3 linked regions of the Saccharomyces cerevisiae S288C genome follow. The gene in region 1 interacts genetically with each later gene. Each region holds a gene or a part of one and is shown on either strand. Other genes may lie near its edges.

Region 1 (8,473 bases):
CACCTAGGATGAAGCTCCTGCAAGTAGCTTGGTAGATGAGAAATGTTAAGCGGATAGTAACGCTGAAGCTATGCTATGCCATAATAATTTATAAAAAAATCAATAAAAAAGAGTGTATATTGATATTACTAATATGTAGAAGAAAGAATTAACTAGTATAATTCGGAGAGTAGTAAAGAAAATTTTATTTACATATGAATGTAGAAATTAATTCTACGATTCACGCGGAATATTGTGAAATCTTGAGATAAGAAAGTTGCAAGAGATCACAAATGAAGGTTATCTGCAAACAGCATAAACAGATGACACCTTATGAATGTAAGGTAACATCGGTAGCTTAGCGCGTTGACCTGTGAGCTCCTACATAGAATATTTGTGTGCTTGGGGATTATTTGAGAAGCATTAGGCTGGTTCAGAGGAATATTTACAATTGGTCATTGTATTTTGATATCAATTACCGAAGATTTTGGTGTTATTATGTTCAAAAACTTTTTTTTGTTTCCGTGAACACACAATTGCTGTCACCTGCTTTTGTGGTATAGCAGTGCAAAACTACTAAAAAGCAATAACATCCCATGACCTTTACCTTAAAAACTCGAAAAAAAAAAGTTTTTGCATTAACCTTTTGTTGCTCTGGTGTAATAATTTTTTTTGATGTATGACTTCTCGCTTTTGCGTGTAGCATTACTCTAACAGCAAAAATTTTAATACACGAAAACTTAATCTAGTGAATAAACCTATAATCAAGACGCTTCATTCCCTTATCTTTAGTTGTGTCCAAGTAATTGATCTGCTCTTCTTTTGTCATAGAGTTCCATTTGCGGTCCTTGTATTTATTCCTACTAATATAGTAAAACTTAGTAGCAACAGCCATACAAATGTTGAAGCAAGTGAATCCTAGAAGTATTTTGTTACCTCTAGTATAGTAAGGTTTATCATCATTTCTATACATGTTAGAAGCAATGATTGCTCCAACTTGGGCACTCATATTGTATAACGCTGTGCCCACTGTACGCGATCTTACCGAATTTGAAATCTCGGAGACCCAACCAGCAAGAATGGAATGTGTATAGGGAAGACCAAGTATACCGGTTAGTAATATATACTTGATCCAGGGGTTTGTGTCAGTCGGTAAAGCGACCAGAGAAACTATGAAAGGGAGCACCCAAACGTTGGCAATTCCCACACAAAGTGATTTTTCTTTCAATTTACGCGATAATAGTGCCGCTAATGGTAAATTTATTAGCAGCAGGGCTTGGCCTGGAATTGCTAAAATGTTCGAAAGAAATGTAGAGTAATTTAAACTCTTTAATATCAAAGATAAATAGGAACCAACTGTTTGAAGAGATATGAATGCTGTAATACCTTGGATAAACAATGGCCATAGATCAAATTCTGTTAGAGTGTACAAAATCTCCTTGAAGGTAACTGGTTGTCGGTTACTCATGTCACCCTTTGATGGGTCATCCCTTAAAATTCTGTTAACCATAATTTTCTCCTCATACTCAGTGAATAACGATTTTCCTTTGTGAAATGCAGACTCACCAGTTTGCGTAGGTCCTCTACGCATTAAATAAAAGGATGCCACGCCAACAGAAAGGGACAGAAACCCTTCAATTATAAATAGGTACTGCCAGCCAGCTAAGTTATGAATACCCCTCATCTCTATGATTCCGGAAGCTAAAAGAGAGCCTAAAATTTGGAAAAGAGGTATAGCACACCAAAAGAAACTTAGGCGGAATGTGAGCTCAGCTCCAGTATAATAATATGACAAGTATAGAATATTGTCCGGGATGAACCCGCCCTGTACCATTCCTAATAAGCATCTAGTAGCAATAAATTGACCTCGATTTTTCAGACCAGCTTGAGTAATACAAATTACACTCCACAACACAATTTGAACCGGAATGACCCTTTCTGGACCAAATCTTTTGGACAGCAGATTGCCGGGTAGTTCACTTGCTAGAAATATAACTAGATAAACAGTTTGGCCAAGGTTGTAGTCGTTCGTGTTCATTTTCAAGTCAACAATGAAGTTGTCTGAAACTGCCCTTGCAATATTTTTCCTTATTAAATCCAAAAAGGCAAACATAATAAAAACCCACAAAAAAATCTTCAAGTCCATTTTTCTTACCAATTTCTTTTCCTCATCCTTTGTCCATGTAAACTCAGGATCGAATTTAGACAAGCCTTCATAACCACTGGATTCATAGACTTTTCTCCAACGCTCTGCTTTATGAAAATCGTCAAATGGGTTATGTGAAATACTCTCCGAATCTGATGTTAAGCTTTCTGCGGACACAGATAATTGGGCCTTTTCTACAATATCGTATTCTTCTTTTTGTACGGACATAGATGAAACTTTGTTTGTTGATTGAATTTTTTATTAATTGTTTGTACAATAAATAATTTCAATAATCAACAATTGAACGCTGCCTTTTTATACTAAATGATTCAGTAGAAGACGAACCTAGCGCAGGGAATACGTCATGTATTTGATAGTAAGCGCCAAACCTATTAGGCAATAAAGTGTGACAAATTGGTAGCATTGATAGTTATTCCCAATTGACCCATAGGCTGTTGAAATGAAACCATCAGTATATGTTGAAACCTCAAGTGAGGCGTCAACCTCTAAGTGAGGCTTCAAGCTTCGCCAACTATTATATATGCCACATGACTGCAGGGTCCTTATTTTAAGGAGCTAGCTGCAACGACTTTGTGCTGTAAAGGGGTGCAGCAGCAAATGTAGCCTATTTGCTCGAGGTTTTTCTTTCTTACGAGAATGCTAGCAATTCAAGATAGTACGTTGTAATATGATGCATTTCGGCACAATTATCCGAGAAACGGACTATTTCGGGATTATATCGATCCGAAATTCTCTGCGTCGAGCCGAATGCCAAGGAAAAAAGTTCAGAGAATGACTACAAACAGCCTTGGCGACGGCAAAAGTAAGCTTGGTAAGAATGGCTTGATCCACACGGTGATTCTTGTATCGGGTCAATGCATAATTTTGATTGTGAAAGGCGCAATTATTAAGGCTGCATTCTTTAGCTTGTCTTGACTCCTACCCGTCATCGTACAATCTCCACATTAAAAAATATCACGACATTTATAAATCTTCTTCACACCGGATTAAACAAAAAAACTGTGTTAATCGGATCCGGGAGAAAATGCTAATATCTCCTTCTTGTTTGTGAAATGATGATAACTGGGCTGTTGAACGAAAATGAAACTTCTCAAATACACCTATTTATTAATAAATGTTAATTTATATTTTAAAAAAAGGTAAAAATTAAATGATCAGGTTTGCGATCCTGATTTCAAAATCATGGCTTGGATTATATCTTAGAGACGTATGGATTTCAAACAAATGCCTATTTGATTGAATATTACAGATCTACATTATCTCTTGTACATAAAACATTATATAACAGACATATTGATATTAACGAATATTTTCGAGCCACCATTCATGAAAGCCTAGTTAATGGATTTATGCGGTATTCATTTCGTAAACTTGACATCGTGTGACCTTTCATTGACAGTCAACTGGAAGACATCTCCCCTAGCATAATGTCCGACAGGGTCAAGATCAAAGCGAGCTTCAGCAATCAAGTCAGTGTTAATTTCGGCGGTTAAAAGGCCCTCCTGCCCTAGCAATGGCCCTGCAATAATCTCTCCATAAGGATCAATAATAACACTACCTCCATTAATACAGTTGTCGTCAGCAGATGGCCATCCAGGTAATTTTCTCTTACCTGTAGCTTGGTCAATAATCTCCCCAAAGCCCATTGCTGTCGCATCTGGCATGAACTGCACTGCACTAATCAAGAATAGACGACCTTCGTATGCAATATTTTTCATCACAGTCCTCTAAATAGGCCTAGCATCCACCGTTGGGGCACACCAGATCTCAACCCCTTTTTTATACATGGCGTATCTCAGTAGAGGCATCATGTTCTCCCAGCAGATAGCACCGCCAATCTTCCCAGCAGCGGTATCCACGACAGGCAGAGTCGAACCATCGCCTTGACCCCATATCAGTCTTTCGCCAGCTGTCGGCATCAGTTTTCGATGCTTCCCAACGTAGCCATCTTTAGGATCTATATAAACCATGGTACAATATAATGTCGTCCCATCGCGCTCTATACACCCCACACATAAGGATGCGTCGGTGGCCTTCGATAGTGCGCACAACTGACTAATTTCTGGATATTTCTCTCCGTTTCCGATCTCAATTGCTTCGGCAAGATACTTAGCATACTCCTCCCTTCCTTCTTGAAGACGGTAGCCTAGATAAACCCCAAAGTTCGATCCCTTTGGATAACCACCAAGAGTGGCTTCTGGGATAACGACCAACTTGGCACCAGATTCCTTGATCTCCTTCTCATATGACAAAATTTTTTTCAAGGTATCCTTAGTAGAGCCCGGACAAGAGCCGATTTGAAGGGCAGCAACAATGTGTTTCGCCATTGTGGTTAACTAGAGGTAGCCTCGAAAAGTGATTGGCTAACCCTAAGTCATAATATCACCCTTTCTTATTGAAGAGCTTTTATTATTTATATACACTGCCCTTTATGAGTCACGGAGGCCTGGGCTCCATTTTTTTTACGAAGCAAAAAAGATAGCTCATATTTCGTAAGCATTAGGCCAACTTTACTGATAACCGTTTTCAAATCGCGGTGGGATTAATATAATGTGGCGTTCATAGTGAAATGTGGCTCCAAAGTATAAGCGTAAATGCGTTTGCTTATCGAACCGCAAGTAACTTGTAATTTCACCTCTATAATTTCGAGCGGTTTTTAAGATACACCATGTTTCAAGTAACCACCTTTCGCCTTTTTCCTCTGTTATCGAACTTCCATCTGTAAAAAGTTCGCTTGCAGAAGAAAAAAGGCACTACACGGAAGAGGACTGATAATTAATGAAAATCAAGCTATGATCAAACAACTACTGGCTCTAATATATGGTTTCGGCTACATAATCTAATTGTCATATCTGTTATCTCGACACTCGTCTCTCGATAAACGAGTTCTTCACTGTTGCTAGGTGCAGTGGTCGGCCATAGTTATCCATACAAAATTCCAATTTCTTACGCGCATAGCAGTCGATACATGCAAACATCTCGACTATTCTGGCGATAGCAGTACCAACAATCACCAGCACAAATTTTGTCACCTGTGCTTTGCTAGAGTTACTTCAGTACTAATTAGATTATAATATTTTGCAGCATTTATTGGTATAGAAAGAAAAGCTCGAGCACTACCAACTTTTATCTGATATACCGAAAAATGCATAAATATCTTCTCTAGTTTGTGCGTTTTCTTGTCGCCCTACCTCACAAAAGAGAAGTACTGATGGCTAATAATTGTTGGATCGATTCATTGTATCTCTTAAATGTCAACAGAGCATAAGTCAGACTCTTTGCCATTTTTAAAAAGCTGCGAAGGCGAACGTGACTACGGGGTGCGGGTTTTTGTATTGCTAATGTAGCATGACAGCTTATCCAATGTTTTGTTGTGTTCATTCAAACTATTTTGAGCCTCACTTCAATTTTGTTTGACTACTAACATGGCAGCATGCGTCGTTTCTAGGTGCTAGCCAGGCTGTGAGAACGTAAAATTAGCCTATGTTCAACATTCTCTGCTTTTCAATGTCACTGTTCATTTTGTTACTATGAAAGTAGTTCGTCGCAATTTGTACTTTTCTTCGAAAGTCTTCTTTTGCAGTAGATGAAGTGTGTTCTGAGAAATTGATGCTTTCAAATGGCCTTAAAAAATTTTTGTATCATAGCTAACAACATACTGTTGCGCCAGGGGAAGTGAAATCATGGTTGTATATTACAATAGCATTATGTGCATTTACCAAGTATGGAAAAGCGGAAAGTGTGAAAGAAGTTTATGAAAAAAGCGGAAAATAAAAAAAAAAAGTTTATTTTCCTGTGACTTCTGGGAAGCAGTTAGACCTCCTTCGCTGTATTCTTAGGTGCTATACCTCATTTCCACGATGGTAATAGACGATCAGTCTATTAATGCGCTAAAGAACGTAGAAAAGTTATTAACTGAAGAAGCTTTGCTAATGCCGTCGCACATTAAACGGCTAGACATTGCCTTGAATAGGAAGCCGAATAATCTACGAAATATCATGGAGCTTCAGGGCCTTGCATATACTATAGTAAAAAAAAAACTAAGTTTTCCCCTGTAGTAAACAGGGAGATACCGTACGGAGGTCTGAATTCCCTACAGAAGTAGCTGTAAAAATTCAGAATTCGCAACAACCTATAATTGAGTTAAGTGCCTTTCCAAGCTAAAAAGTTTGAGGTTATAGGGGCTTAGCATCCACACGTCACAATCTCGGGTATCGAGTATAGTATGTAGAATTACGGCAGGAGGTTTCCCAATGAACAAAGGACAGGGGCACGGTGAGCTGTCGAAGGTATCCATTTTATCATGTTTCGTTTGTACAAGCACGACATACTAAGACATTTACCGTATGGGAGTTGTTGTCCTAGCGTAGTTCTCGCTCCCCCAGCAAAGCTCAAAAAAGTACGTCATTTAGAATAGTTTGTGAGCAAATTACCAGTCGGTATGCTACGTTAGAAAGGCCCACAGTATTCTTCTACCAAAGGCGTGCCTTTGTTGAACTCGATCCATTATGAGGGCTTCCATTATTCCCCGCATTTTTATTACTCTGAACAGGAATAAAAAGAAAAAACCCAGTTTAGGAAATTATCCGGGGGCGAAGAAATACGCGTAGCGTTAATCGACCCCACGTCCAGGGTTTTTCCATGGAGGTTTCTGGAAAAACTGACGAGGAATGTGATTATAAATCCCTTTATGTGATGTCTAAGACTTTTAAGGTACGCCCGATGTTTGCCTATTACCATCATAGAGACGTTTCTTTTCGAGGAATGCTTAAACGACTTTGTTTGACAAAAATGTTGCCTAAGGGCTCTATAGTAAACCATTTGGAAGAAAGATTTGACGACTTTTTTTTTTTGGATTTCGATCCTATAATCCTTCCTCCTGAAAAGAAACATATAAATAGATATGTATTATTCTTCAAAACATTCTCTTGTTCTTGTGCTTTTTTTTTACCATATATCTTACTTTTTTTTTTCTCTCAGAGAAACAAGCAAAACAAAAAGCTTTTCTTTTCACTAACGTATATGATGCTTTTGCAAGCTTTCCTTTTCCTTTTGGCTGGTTTTGCAGCCAAAATATCTGCATCAATGACAAACGAAACTAGCGATAGACCTTTGGTCCACTTCACACCCAACAAGGGCTGGATGAATGACCCAAATGGGTTGTGGTACGATGAAAAAGATGCCAAATGGCATCTGTACTTTCAATACAACCCAAATGACACCGTATGGGGTACGCCATTGTTTTGGGGCCATGCTACTTCCGATGATTTGACTAATTGGGAAGATCAACCCATTGCTATCGCTCCCAAGCGTAACGATTCAGGTGCTTTCTCTGGCTCCATGGTGGTTGATTACAACAACACGAGTGGGTTTTTCAATGATACTATTGATCCAAGACAAAGATGCGTTGCGATTTGGACTTATAACACTCCTGAAAGTGAAGAGCAATACATTAGCTATTCTCTTGATGGTGGTTACACTTTTACTGAATACCAAAAGAACCCTGTTTTAGCTGCCAACTCCACTCAATTCAGAGATCCAAAGGTGTTCTGGTATGAACCTTCTCAAAAATGGATTATGACGGCTGCCAAATCACAAGACTACAAAATTGAAATTTACTCCTCTGATGACTTGAAGTCCTGGAAGCTAGAATCTGCATTTGCCAATGAAGGTTTCTTAGGCTACCAATACGAATGTCCAGGTTTGATTGAAGTCCCAACTGAGCAAGATCCTTCCAAATCTTATTGGGTCATGTTTATTTCTATCAACCCAGGTGCACCTGCTGGCGGTTCCTTCAACCAATATTTTGTTGGATCCTTCAATGGTACTCATTTTGAAGCGTTTGACAATCAATCTAGAGTGGTAGATTTTGGTAAGGACTACTATGCCTTGCAAACTTTCTTCAACACTGACCCAACCTACGGTTCAGCATTAGGTATTGCCTGGGCTTCAAACTGGGAGTACAGTGCCTTTGTCCCAACTAACCCATGGAGATCATCCATGTCTTTGGTCCGCAAGTTTTCTTTGAACACTGAATATCAAGCTAATCCAGAGACTGAATTGATCAATTTGAAAGCCGAACCAATATTGAACATTAGTAATGCTGGTCCCTGGTCTCGTTTTGCTACTAACACAACTCTAACTAAGGCCAATTCTTACAATGTCGATTTGAGCAACTCGACTGGTACCCTAGAGTTTGAGTTGGTTTACGCTGTTAACACCACACAAACCATATCCAAATCCGTCTTTGCCGACTTATCACTTTGGTTCAAGGGTTTAGAAGATCCTGAAGAATATTTGAGAATGGGTTTTGAAGTCAGTGCTTCT
Region 2 (5,557 bases), on another chromosome or scaffold:
AGCTCTGACCGAAGTTTTCTCTGCAAAAAAAATTCATCGATTGAGTATATCGGAACGCTCTCGATATTACTTGTTTTACTATCGGAGAGTTTAATTATATCGTTTTCAATGTTTGGCAATGCCCTCTTGTTTTTTTTTTTAGAATTGACTTCAACGTCATTGTAATCATATTCCTCATCATCATCTTCATTATCATTGATTTCTCCCCCAAGAACATTAGCATTGTTGGACATTTCTGTTACTTCTTCTTCATCTGATTTTTCATCATCGGCAAGAATTGCTACTGCTTGTTTATTGCTATTGTCAGGATGTGTTTCATAATCGGTAATGTTTTTCATAAGTTTAACTAATTCGTTAAACTTCAGGGAGTCTATATTGATGCCTAGCTCATGCTGGATCTTTTCCTTTCGCTCTTCAATATTACCATCCTCATTTTCCTCATTTTCTTTCAATTGTCTGATGAATATATCAGCAGTTCCAATAATAAGATCATGGGGTATATCATTGCCTAAAACTTCTGTAACCCACTGCAAAATCTGCTCGTAAGTTTCGACATTTGAGGGATCCTTTGGATAATAATGTAACCTGAAATCGGAGGAAGAATTCAAAATGGTGTTATGCTGCTGAATTTTTTTCAATGATGCGCTCTTTCCAGTTTTTTCAACGGCTACATCATTTTCTTTTAGTCCTTTATTAATGTTATTGCACAGGCCCTGTCCCATATCCTTAGCACTAATTCTACCACTCATGGATTTTGGTTGTGATATTTCCGCATCCCTTTGAGGATTTTGGCTGGTATTCATAAAGCGTTTATCAACTTTCAACACCTTATTGGACATCTCATCATAACGATAAATTTCTCTAATTTTTTTGGCCTTATCCTTCGTTTCATGCTCAGTCATTTTTAATAACGAAGGCTCACGGTAAATCTTCCAAAGCAATTACTTATATTTACCTTCACCTTATTTTACTCAAGATTATCTCTATTAGTGTATTATTCCTTTATAGTAGACATAGCTTTAGTAGCATAAATTTTTAATATTCTCGTAAAGAGCGACAATATTCAATATTAGATCGTCAAAGAAGCAAACACGCATTGATATCTGAGAGATCATCACAATGCGTTAATAGTACTTGATTCAACACCACTAATTATCAAGTTTGTTCCTGTCTGAATGATATGGATAGTACGAATTTGAACAAACGGCCCTTATTACAATATAGTCTCAGTTCATTGGGCTCGCAAATAACAAAATGGAGCTCATCTAGACCGACTTCGCCAGTTCGTAAGGCGAGAAGCACTGAAAATGACTTTCTTTCCAAGCAAGATACGTCTAGTATCCTCCCAAGTATCAACGACGACGGCGGTGAACAGTGGTACGAAAAGTTCAAGCCCAATTGTTTGGAGCAAGTGGCCATACATAAAAGAAAACTTAAAGATGTACAAGAAGCTTTAGATGCCATGTTTTTACCTAACGCCAAGCATAGGATCCTACTACTGTCTGGCCCCAGTGGATGCTCTAAAAGTACGGTCATAAAAGAACTCTCAAAAATCTTAGTTCCTAAATACAGACAAAACAGCAACGGAACGTCCTTTCGAAGCACCCCGAACGAGCATAAAGTGACCGAGTTTAGAGGTGATTGTATAGTCAACGATCTTCCTCAGATGGAAAGCTTTAGTGAGTTCTTAAAAGGCGCACGGTATCTTGTGATGTCCAACCTGTCATTAATACTTATCGAGGACCTTCCCAACGTCTTCCATATAGATACCAGACGTCGATTTCAACAACTTATATTACAGTGGCTATATAGTTCGGAGCCTCTATTACCTCCCCTTGTTATATGTATAACTGAATGTGAAATTCCAGAGAACGATAATAATTATCGCAAATTTGGTATTGATTATACATTTAGTGCAGAAACCATAATGAACAAAGAAATATTGATGCATCCAAGGTTGAAAAGAATTAAGTTTAATCCAATTAACAGCACTTTATTAAAAAAGCACTTGAAATTTATTTGTGTACAGAATATGAAAATGTTGAAGGAGAAAAATAAATGGAATAAAAGACAGGAAGTCATAGATTATATTGCGCAAGAGACTGGTGATATTAGGTCGGCCATTACGACCCTTCAATTTTGGGCGACATCAAGTGGAAGTTTGCCGATTTCAACCCGAGAATCCACCATATCATACTTTCATGCCATTGGGAAGGTGATACATGGTTCCCATAGCACGAATAACGATAACGAAATGATTAATAACCTCTTCGAAAATTCGAACAATTTGTTATCGAAAGAGGATTTCAAATTAGGAATATTAGAGAACTATAACACATTTAATAAAGGCGAATTCAGCATTTCTGATGCATCATCAATTGTGGATTGCCTGAGCGAGTGTGATAATATGAATGGTCTACCAGAATCCAATGAGTATGGTTTACGAGAAGTGCGCAAAACCTTTCGTAACATCAGTAAACAAGGCCATAATCATGGAACGGTTTATTTTCCAAGAGAATGGAAAGTAAGAAAATTACAAAATTCATTTAAAGTTCAAGCTGAAGATTGGTTAAATGTTAGTCTTTATAAGTACAACGCGGTACATTCTTTCAGGAATATAACTCTAGAATTTGGCTACTACGCACCTCTAATTAGAAAGTGTCAGAGTTATAAAAAAAAATACATTCTCTATTATTTGAAGAATCTTCCGAGTGGCTCCTCGGGGCCCAAACAAACCATGGACAAATTTAGTGATATAATGAAAGTTGAGAACGGAATCGACGTTGTGGATCGGATAGGCGGGCCTATCGAAGCACTATCTGTGGAGGATGGACTAGCACCATTGATGGATAATGATAGCAATAATTGTGACCATTTAGAGGATCAAAAAAAGGAAAGGGACAGAAGGCTTCGCATGTTGATTGACCAATATGAAAGAAATGTGATGATGGCTAACGACGATCTTGAAGACGAAGAAACTTCTTTTAATGATGACCCTATTGTCGATAGCGATAGCGATAACAGCAATAATATTGGCAATGAAACATTTGGTAGAAGCGACGAAGACGAGTCTCTATGTGAAATTCTGTCCCAGAGACAGCCGCGTAAAGCGCCAGTTATCAGTGAGTCCCTTTCAGATTCAGATCTGGAAATACTCTAACTTTTTACTCTTTAAATTTGACGAGAAAACCCCAGGAAATATTCCACACAAATCTATGCACATTACATTCTAGAATAAATTAATAAATAAAAATATATACATATATATTAATATGTATATATGTATGAATATAGTTTTCATTACAAAATAAGGCTTACTGTAGAGCATGTTGGAAATATTCAGGATCTTCTTCTATAGATTCCTTGATAATATCCAAACCTCCCTGGAACTCCCCATTGATATATAACTGAGGAAAAGTAGGCCAATCAGAAAACTTCTTCAAGCTTTGTCTAACGTTTTCGTCTCTTAATATATCAAAAAATCCGAACCTTATTTGGTGTTCTCTGAGGATACCAACTAACTGTCTAGAAAATCCGCATTTAGGTTCTGATGGGCTTCCTTTCATGAATAGCATCACAGGTGCAGCTTGTACTAGCTTCACCAGCCTAGCATTTATTTCTTCTTCAGTTTCGTCCTCTTCATCATCGGAAGACCCGCTGCTTTCCTCATCAGACGTAGATTTAGGACCCTTGGCATTGTTCGCTAGTGAGGCAGAAGCATTCGAAAGAATTTCTAAGCTTTTCACAAACTCCTTAGGATCTGCGGCTGATATTTCTTTTACAATAGTACCATTTTGAATGAAGACGAAGTATGGTACGGCTGCAATCTCAAAAAGGTCTGATATTTCTGGATGTTCGTCTGCATCTATTGATAAAAACCGGACATCCTCTTGCCTAACTTTTTCACTAACAGCTTCTAGCACCTGGCTCATAGTTTTGCAAGGATCAGCCCATTGAGCTTTAAAATATAAGACAATGAGTTTATTAGCAGCGTTTGTAGTGGTTAGTTGCGTAAATTGGTCCTGGCTTTTTATTTCAACCACAGTCATATTTATTGGAGGAAGAGCACAGAAATTTAGTTATATGTAAGTGGAAAAATGAAATATGCTCAGTACCCAAAGACAACAATGTTACCGGGAAAACGAATCAACGTTCCTGGCAGTAACAGATTAAAAAATGGTTCAACTGGTACAGTATTAATATGCTATTTAAGCTAAATATCAACCAGTCTTCAGATATGGTAACTTTTTCTAGGACATCTGTGAATACGTCGCGAGGCTTCACCAATTAAAACGCGCGCTCTTACTAAAATTTCACGAATATAATGCTTATTGGCTGAAATTTTCAGACCCTTTTGCCAAGTTTGTAAAAAGTATTCCAAACAACTTCAATTTTGGTGTTGGTGGAAAGTTCCGGCCTCCTCCTTAGTGACTCTTTAATAAACCAATCTGCTACATCTTCTTTATCTTTGTTCTTTGGATCCTGCTTCCACTGATGGTAAGCGCTCCAGGTTCTGACATAATCTGCAAACTCCACTAGGGTGACCTGCTTTCTGATTAGCAATGGCTTCTTTGTATGCTGGTGGAGTTTTACTTTGTCTCTCACATCTTCTGCACAAAAATATGAAACTTGTATATCATGGAAAAGTTCTGGGTCTAAGTGAGAGTCTTTCAGCATATTACGAAGGCGAGATCTCCCCGGTTGTTCCCAATAGGGTCCCAGTCCTTGCTTCCCGTAAGGAACTTCAATCATCAGATCATCAAATTCAGGGTAGTCCGGGAAAATTGGGTCCGCATAACCCCAAATAGCGATAGTACCATCTTTTCTCAAATTGGCATAAGCAGATCGCTGAAATTTTTCGAAATCGAACCAATGAGCACATTCTACTGCGGTAATCATATCAATTTTCTGTTTGTCTACTGAATCCGCGCCTAGGAATTTAAAATCATCACTTGAAGAAATCTTAAATGAAACGTTTTTGTATGTATCAGGACTTCCTTCCTTTATTACTTCTGCAGTCTTAATCATGGTAGCGGAGAGATCGCTTCCGATAATTTGTTCGAATGGTTTTAACTCCTGAGCCATTTGTAAAGTGGCAGTACCTGGTCCACAGCCAACATCTACGAGTAATTTCCTTTCTCCGTCGTGGTATTCATCAATCATCTTGTAAAAATCGGAGGGATAAGAAGGTCTTGAAGATGAATATCTTTCTGAGTTGAAATCAGAAGCAGAAAAGGTAGACATTATTATCACTTATTTTGTTATCTTGTTAGGAGATAATTCTCATAACAACTAATAAAGACTGCTACAACGAAAACATACTAAATTAGTTACATTCCTTTTCCTTTAAAAATGAAAATAAGGAAGATAAACTTTCGGAAAACCAGAAAAAAAAAGGATATTACTGTGAGTCATGAACATCAACACATAAGGTGTGATTCATTTATAGTAAACAACGGCAGAATTGCACCTAATTTTTCTGATTAGATAGGTTGATGGAACACCCTTTTTATTGGTCATTTAACAATGCATGAGACTACATAAAACATTTATCTGT
Region 3 (5,874 bases), on another chromosome or scaffold:
TAATACCAGAAATGCGGGTGGGCAGCAGGGATTCCATAATCTTACTCAGGATGTCGTCATTGTGGATACACGTGAGTTTAATGCCTCATTACCAGGCTTACTCTACCGATATGGCATAAGGGTTATTCCTTGTATGTTGACAGTCGGCGATTATGTGATAACTCCTGATATTTGTCTCGAAAGAAAATCGATTTCTGACTTAATTGGGTCATTACAGAATAACAGATTAGCCAACCAATGTAAAAAAATGTTAAAATACTATGCATATCCGACACTATTGATTGAGTTTGATGAAGGACAGTCGTTTTCTTTAGAACCTTTTAGTGAACGTAGAAATTATAAGAATAAAGACATATCAACTGTTCATCCTATATCAAGCAAGTTATCCCAGGATGAAATTCAGCTAAAACTAGCCAAATTAGTATTGCGGTTTCCCACTTTAAAGATTATATGGTCTTCCTCACCCCTGCAAACTGTAAATATAATCCTAGAGTTGAAATTAGGACGTGAGCAACCTGACCCTAGTAATGCAGTTATATTGGGAACGAATAAAGTTAGATCGGATTTTAATAGCACTGCAAAGGGCCTGAAGGATGGTGATAACGAGTCTAAATTCAAGAGACTGTTGAATGTTCCTGGAGTGTCAAAAATTGATTATTTCAATCTCCGCAAAAAGATCAAGAGCTTCAATAAGCTTCAAAAGCTTTCATGGAATGAGATTAATGAACTTATTAATGACGAAGATTTGACGGATAGAATATACTACTTCTTGAGAACAGAAAAAGAAGAACAAGAACAAGAGTCAACAGATGAAAATCTTGAATCTCCTGGTAAGACCACTGATGATAACGCTTTACATGATCATCATAATGATGTTCCTGAAGCACCTGTGTAAAATATTGTTTAATTTAACGAACCCTGTTAAAACATCAGTATAAAATGCGATTAACTATAGTGAAAATAACAATATTCATTTGGTGACTTCGACCGTATATGTTATAAGTTAGACATGCTCTTTGAATCTTTTACTTTGATATTTTATTCCGCATATATATTCTTTTTTTCGCGTTCATAGTTTATTCACTCAAATTTTTCATATCATCCGCAATTCATCTTCCACTTTTTAGCAGTAAAAATGACCAAATGAAGTTCATTTATTTTTGATTTTTTAACCGTATTTGGTGGAATCTGAGCGTGGCATTAGTGAATCATTTTAAGCCAAATTACCCGTGAGTTTTTCTTAGAAGCGCACAATCATATTCATTATTAATAAATGCTTCAAATTCATCCTCTTGAATAAGGTCCAGAAATAATTTTGTCTCTTTTCCATTACCTATGTGGGTAAAAATTTTCTTTTGCGACTAAGATTCAAGAGACCAAGTTTCTTTTCCACAACGATATATAATAAACCAAATGGTACAAAGTAGGAAACAACAAATAAGGAAAGCTTTTTCTTAAGTAGATTTGTATATTTATCCAAGAATGAACGATGTGTCTCGTAAACAGTAATTCCTTTTAAATTTTATATTTCTTCTATTTTCTGAACTTTTTTACTTAAGAAAAAATTTGGAAATCATTACCTGTAGGATGGCTTAGCTCTGATAATCAACCTACCAAAGTAGTTTGCAGTTATGTGCACTTTTCCCTTCATGTTAACATTATTCGGGCCGGTCTATTGTTAAATAATTAAGGGTCCATTTTAGGCACGGCGGATTCACAGAAAACCACGCAGTGCTCAACGTCATATACCACAAAATCCGTTTTCGTATTAAAAGTGAATGTGTCAGTAAAAGGCATTCTTTTTAGCGTTCATTATTTCCTTTAATATGATGTACCAATCTGTCCACTGCCTATGTAAACTTAAAAGGGAGGCATTTATGACTTGAGATTTGGTTAAATTACCAATATCTCAAGGGTAACAATATTTGCTATACTGGTCATCTAGAATAAAAATACTGCGTTGTAGTGCTGAGTGATAGAACTTTTAAATCATATTATGTTATATAACAAAGAGCAGGGAACAAGCGGCGCTAGTAGCTCTGGTCGTAGAACGAAATTCCACTTCGATCGTTTTGTACAAATGGTTCTGTTCATTGCCGCTAATCCCAATTATTGCTGTTCAGTAGCCAGTATCCCGAAATCTGGTGTCACGCCAGATTTAAAAAGAGCAGATATTCTTGAACAGAAGATCAAAAGCTTAAATAGTGCGCTGAGTCCAAAATTGAAGGAAGAAAGTCGTCTTGGTGGGCCTTTGCATAACCCCTCTATTCTACCAGCCCCATCTTTTTCATCACTACCAATATCATCCAATGGAAAGAAATCTTTAGCAGGATATAGACCTAAAAGTAGGAAGAAACAAACTATACTCCCCAACGGTCAACCAAAAGAGTGCGCCACTTGTGGTGACACCTGGACTTCTCAGTGGAGAAGTGGACCTAATGGAAATGTTGAGCTATGTAGTCGATGTGGCATAGCATATAGGAAAAAAATGGAGAAAAAAATACGATCGCAACAATCCTCCGATGATGGTACTAAAAATTTTATATTTAAAAATAAATAGTTAAGTAGTTTGTAAAGATGGTATATTCAGCGGATTCTTCCTCTATTTTTATGTTTTTTGAGATATTTCGAGCTTTCTATTTTTTTAAAATGCCTGAATTTCCATCTTCAAAAAAAACATAAAAAAGGTACTTTACCACCAAATAAATGATAACCACAATTTACTTTACTTATCCTCCACTATCAAGTATCTTCCTACCAGGAAAAATGAATTTCAAATGATTCGAAATTTACGGAGGCTCAATATAGAGATAGTGTGACGATGTTCATAAGGGCTTTACCGCTTAGCACGTATCTACAGTTTTCACTCAATAATATATTCTCTAGGAATGATTGCCAATAGATTGATATCCAAGAGAAGGTTCAATTAAGGAATTTCATTTCGTTCTAATCTTTTGTTGAAAATAAAAATTTTTACTTATATGTTAAAGCTTAAGATTCCACATAAGGTCGAAGACAATCGTCACTAATGTGTGGTTCTGCCTGCTCATCTCTAAAATATATTACTTTTTGTACAGACATCTAAATTGAGCTGGTGCTTATGCTATTCTTATGATTTATTTTCAAGTGGTTTATTGAACTTTATTCCATATCCAATGATCTGAATATTTCTACTTATGTATAATAATTGTATATTATAAAAGAATAACTATTTTAAAGCGTCGGTTAAAATCAAATGGGCAATAAATCTTCTCATCCTAATCGCATCTTTATAATCAAAATCCAATGGCGCATCTGCACTTCCATAGAGAGTATTCATACAAACATATATTCCACAGTCGTAGCCATTTGGTTGCTGCGGACAATCTAAATGAATCAAATCAAAGTCTTCTCCTATTGTATGCTTACTTTCCTCCATAACATATTTTTGCAAGTCAGTCAGTATAGCGAAACTCATAGCATTTGGACCATTCGATAATGAATCTACGTAACCTATAGTTTTCTTTTTTAAATCAATTATGCCCAACGCCCAGTGGGATTGGTTCAAATTTATTGGTGTAAAGATTTTATCAAGTTTATCAATTTGTGTCTTCTTTCTCTTCATCCACCTCCGGACGCCTTGATAACCCCTTTCTGATAAATTGGTATAGAAAAATGAATTAAACGCCACTGTATTAGGGGTAGATTTTTCAATGTATTTCATAAAAAACTCAATGATAGTGTCATTTAGCCATCTTCGTGGTGCCAAGGTCTTAAAATCACGTACTGTTATCTCTATATTATCTCTATTCATTAACTGAGTATTTTCTCTAGATGCCAAAGCTTTTTGTACTTGGTCATCGTCTTTTTCATTTAATTCAGGAACAAGTTTCTTCTTGGCCAATTGTTCTTTCTTTTTTTTAAGATCTTCTTGAATCTTCTTTCTTTCATTTAAAATTTCGTTATATCTTTTGAAGTCTTTCTCAAACTCTAATATAGATCTATCAAACTTCAACTTTTGATTTAAGTAATCCTTATGTTTCCTTTCCAAAGAAGATATCTTTTTTTCTTTAACAAATACTAAATCATCATCATTTTCATTTCTTGTCTGTAGTCTGTTCTTGTTGTTCTCAATTAAAATTGTTTTGATCTTTTCAGTTAAGTCGATTATAGACTTTTTTAAGCCAGTGTCTTTTTCCTTATCCATATCCATTAATTTTAACTGTCTTTCTCTTTCTTCTTTTAATATTTTTGGAACTTTATATTCTCCGTTGAATATTTGTCGTAAATATGTTACTTCCTCAGATTGTGCTCTCGACACCAGTTTAGTATTGTTAATGTTCTGTTTTGCAACTTTTTTCTTTCTAATAAAGGCTGTCCCATACTGTCGCCTGTCGTAGCTATTTTTCTGATCAGAAGTGTTATTTTCTGAGTTAGAACCAATAGCACTTGTTTTCCACTTATTCCAACCAAAAGGATCTCTCGAAAAAGTTATGCTATTGTCACTATCACAATTGCTTTTTTGAGAAGCCAAAGAGCTGATTGGTGAGGTTGAAGGTGTCCCCACACCTTCACTTTCGATTCTTCTCCTTTTATTTGGTAAGGCCCACGTCGACGTATCGAATTTGTGTTTTCTTGTATCCGAGGAATAATTTTCACGTAGACCATATGGTACGTCACTGCTCCTACTTCCAGAACTTCTGCTCTCAACGTCGCTGTTACCACTTGCTTCTACTTCAGAACCATCAAAATTGCGAGGTTCGTTTTTCACAAATGTGTGCCATAAGTACTTACCTGAGTTCCAAAGAGTTTCTCTTATGCCTCCTATAAAACCAGCTTTACTAGCTCTATCTGACCCATCTTTCATTGATTCTTCCATTGATAAAACACGGCGGTCGTTTAAATAATTGAATCTTGACGTATTGGTTCTTTTTTTATAAATACCACTAAAACTGGCTGATCTTCTAGACTCGGAGGGATTGTTCAATACCCGAGGATAACACCTATATGTAGAAATTGGGGAGAATAAAGGGGAGTAAGGGTTCTTTTTATGATACTGTAGTGTGTTCCGGTGCTTATCTACTTCAACTGACATTATTATGATATCCAAAGGTCAGAGGAAGAAGAGGAAAAAAACTGAAACAGAAGTAGATATTGATGAATAATTTTAATTAGCAATATAGATTTGCGGAGCTGAAACGAACGTTTCAGCTATTTTTTGATCTGGGTTTAACTATCACACACATCTTCTCATTATGTGCATTTTGAATTTTGAAAATAAAAAGAGGCGGCGCCGGCACCTGCTGAAAGCTGTTTAATATGATTTAATACGGAAGAGCAAATATGTATAAATAGAGAACAATTAATTAATTATGATAGTAACTGGTACTTGTGTAATATATGTGTATATAAAAAATATACATGTTCTTATTCCCCAACCAAATTGAAGATAAAATCTTGAATTGGTTTTAGTGTACGGGGTAACGAAGGCTGGGAGGAAACGTTTACTAATCCTCTTTCCCTCCTAGCGGCCTCTTTAAAAGCCACACTAAAGTTAACAACCAAGGTAACGATTAATACAACTGCAACCAAAATAGGTCCCACAGGTGCATCCAAATGCTTACCACTTCTACCTTTAATAAGAGTTAATCTTTTTAAGTAGGTTCTATAAGCCCATACTCCGCAAAACAAAGTCAAAAAGAAATATACATAGGCCAACAGATCAGCTAGTTGTGGAAATTCGGCTTTTTGCACTGAATTATAGATAGAAAAGGTCAATACACTCAGCAATGTGGTTACACTTAACCATCTATTGAATGTACGTTCATTGGCGAGCCAAACTTTTGCCTCAACTTTGACAGGACCGGCATTTTTCAAAAGGTGAACTGGTTTTTT

What was found. Genes that interact genetically often act in the same process or in processes that back each other up.
Region 2: mutations in NIT1 (region 1) and GRX4 together harm fitness more than expected from each alone (negative genetic interaction), as found in Saccharomyces cerevisiae (one large-scale study listed by BioGRID).
Region 3: mutations in NIT1 (region 1) and ECM23 together harm fitness more than expected from each alone (negative genetic interaction), as found in Saccharomyces cerevisiae (one large-scale study listed by BioGRID).

What each region holds. Positions count from the first base shown.
Region 1 is NC_001141.2:30,214-38,686, forward strand, and holds NIT1 (Nit1p), read right to left. Parts: upstream 4,474-8,473; coding exon 3,874-4,473; downstream 1-3,873. Other genes in the region: SOA1 (Soa1p), read right to left, coding at 725-2,353; YIL165C (uncharacterized protein), read right to left, coding at 3,505-3,864; YIL163C (uncharacterized protein), read right to left, coding at 6,686-7,039; beta-fructofuranosidase SUC2, read left to right, coding at 7,172-8,473.
Region 2 is NC_001137.3:535,120-540,676, forward strand, and holds GRX4 (monothiol glutaredoxin GRX4), read right to left. Parts: upstream 4,050-5,557; coding exon 3,315-4,049; downstream 1-3,314. Other genes in the region: ATP-dependent RNA helicase BRR2, read right to left, coding at 1-902; RAD24 (Rad24p), read left to right, coding at 1,181-3,160; TMT1 (trans-aconitate 3-methyltransferase), read right to left, coding at 4,345-5,244; YER175W-A (uncharacterized protein), read left to right, coding at 5,531-5,557. UniProt on the Saccharomyces cerevisiae protein: Monothiol glutaredoxin involved in the biogenesis of iron-sulfur clusters. Binds one iron-sulfur cluster per dimer. The iron-sulfur cluster is bound between subunits, and is complexed by a bound glutathione and a cysteine residue from each subunit.
Region 3 is NC_001148.4:509,105-514,978, forward strand, and holds ECM23 (Ecm23p), read left to right. Parts: upstream 1-1,996; coding exon 1,997-2,560; downstream 2,561-5,874. Other genes in the region: ssDNA endodeoxyribonuclease RAD1, read left to right, coding at 1-895; SUMO protease ULP1, read right to left, coding at 3,209-5,074; VTC3 (vacuolar transporter chaperone), read right to left, coding at 5,407-5,874. UniProt on the Saccharomyces cerevisiae protein: Involved in morphogenesis. May be involved in cell wall organization and biogenesis.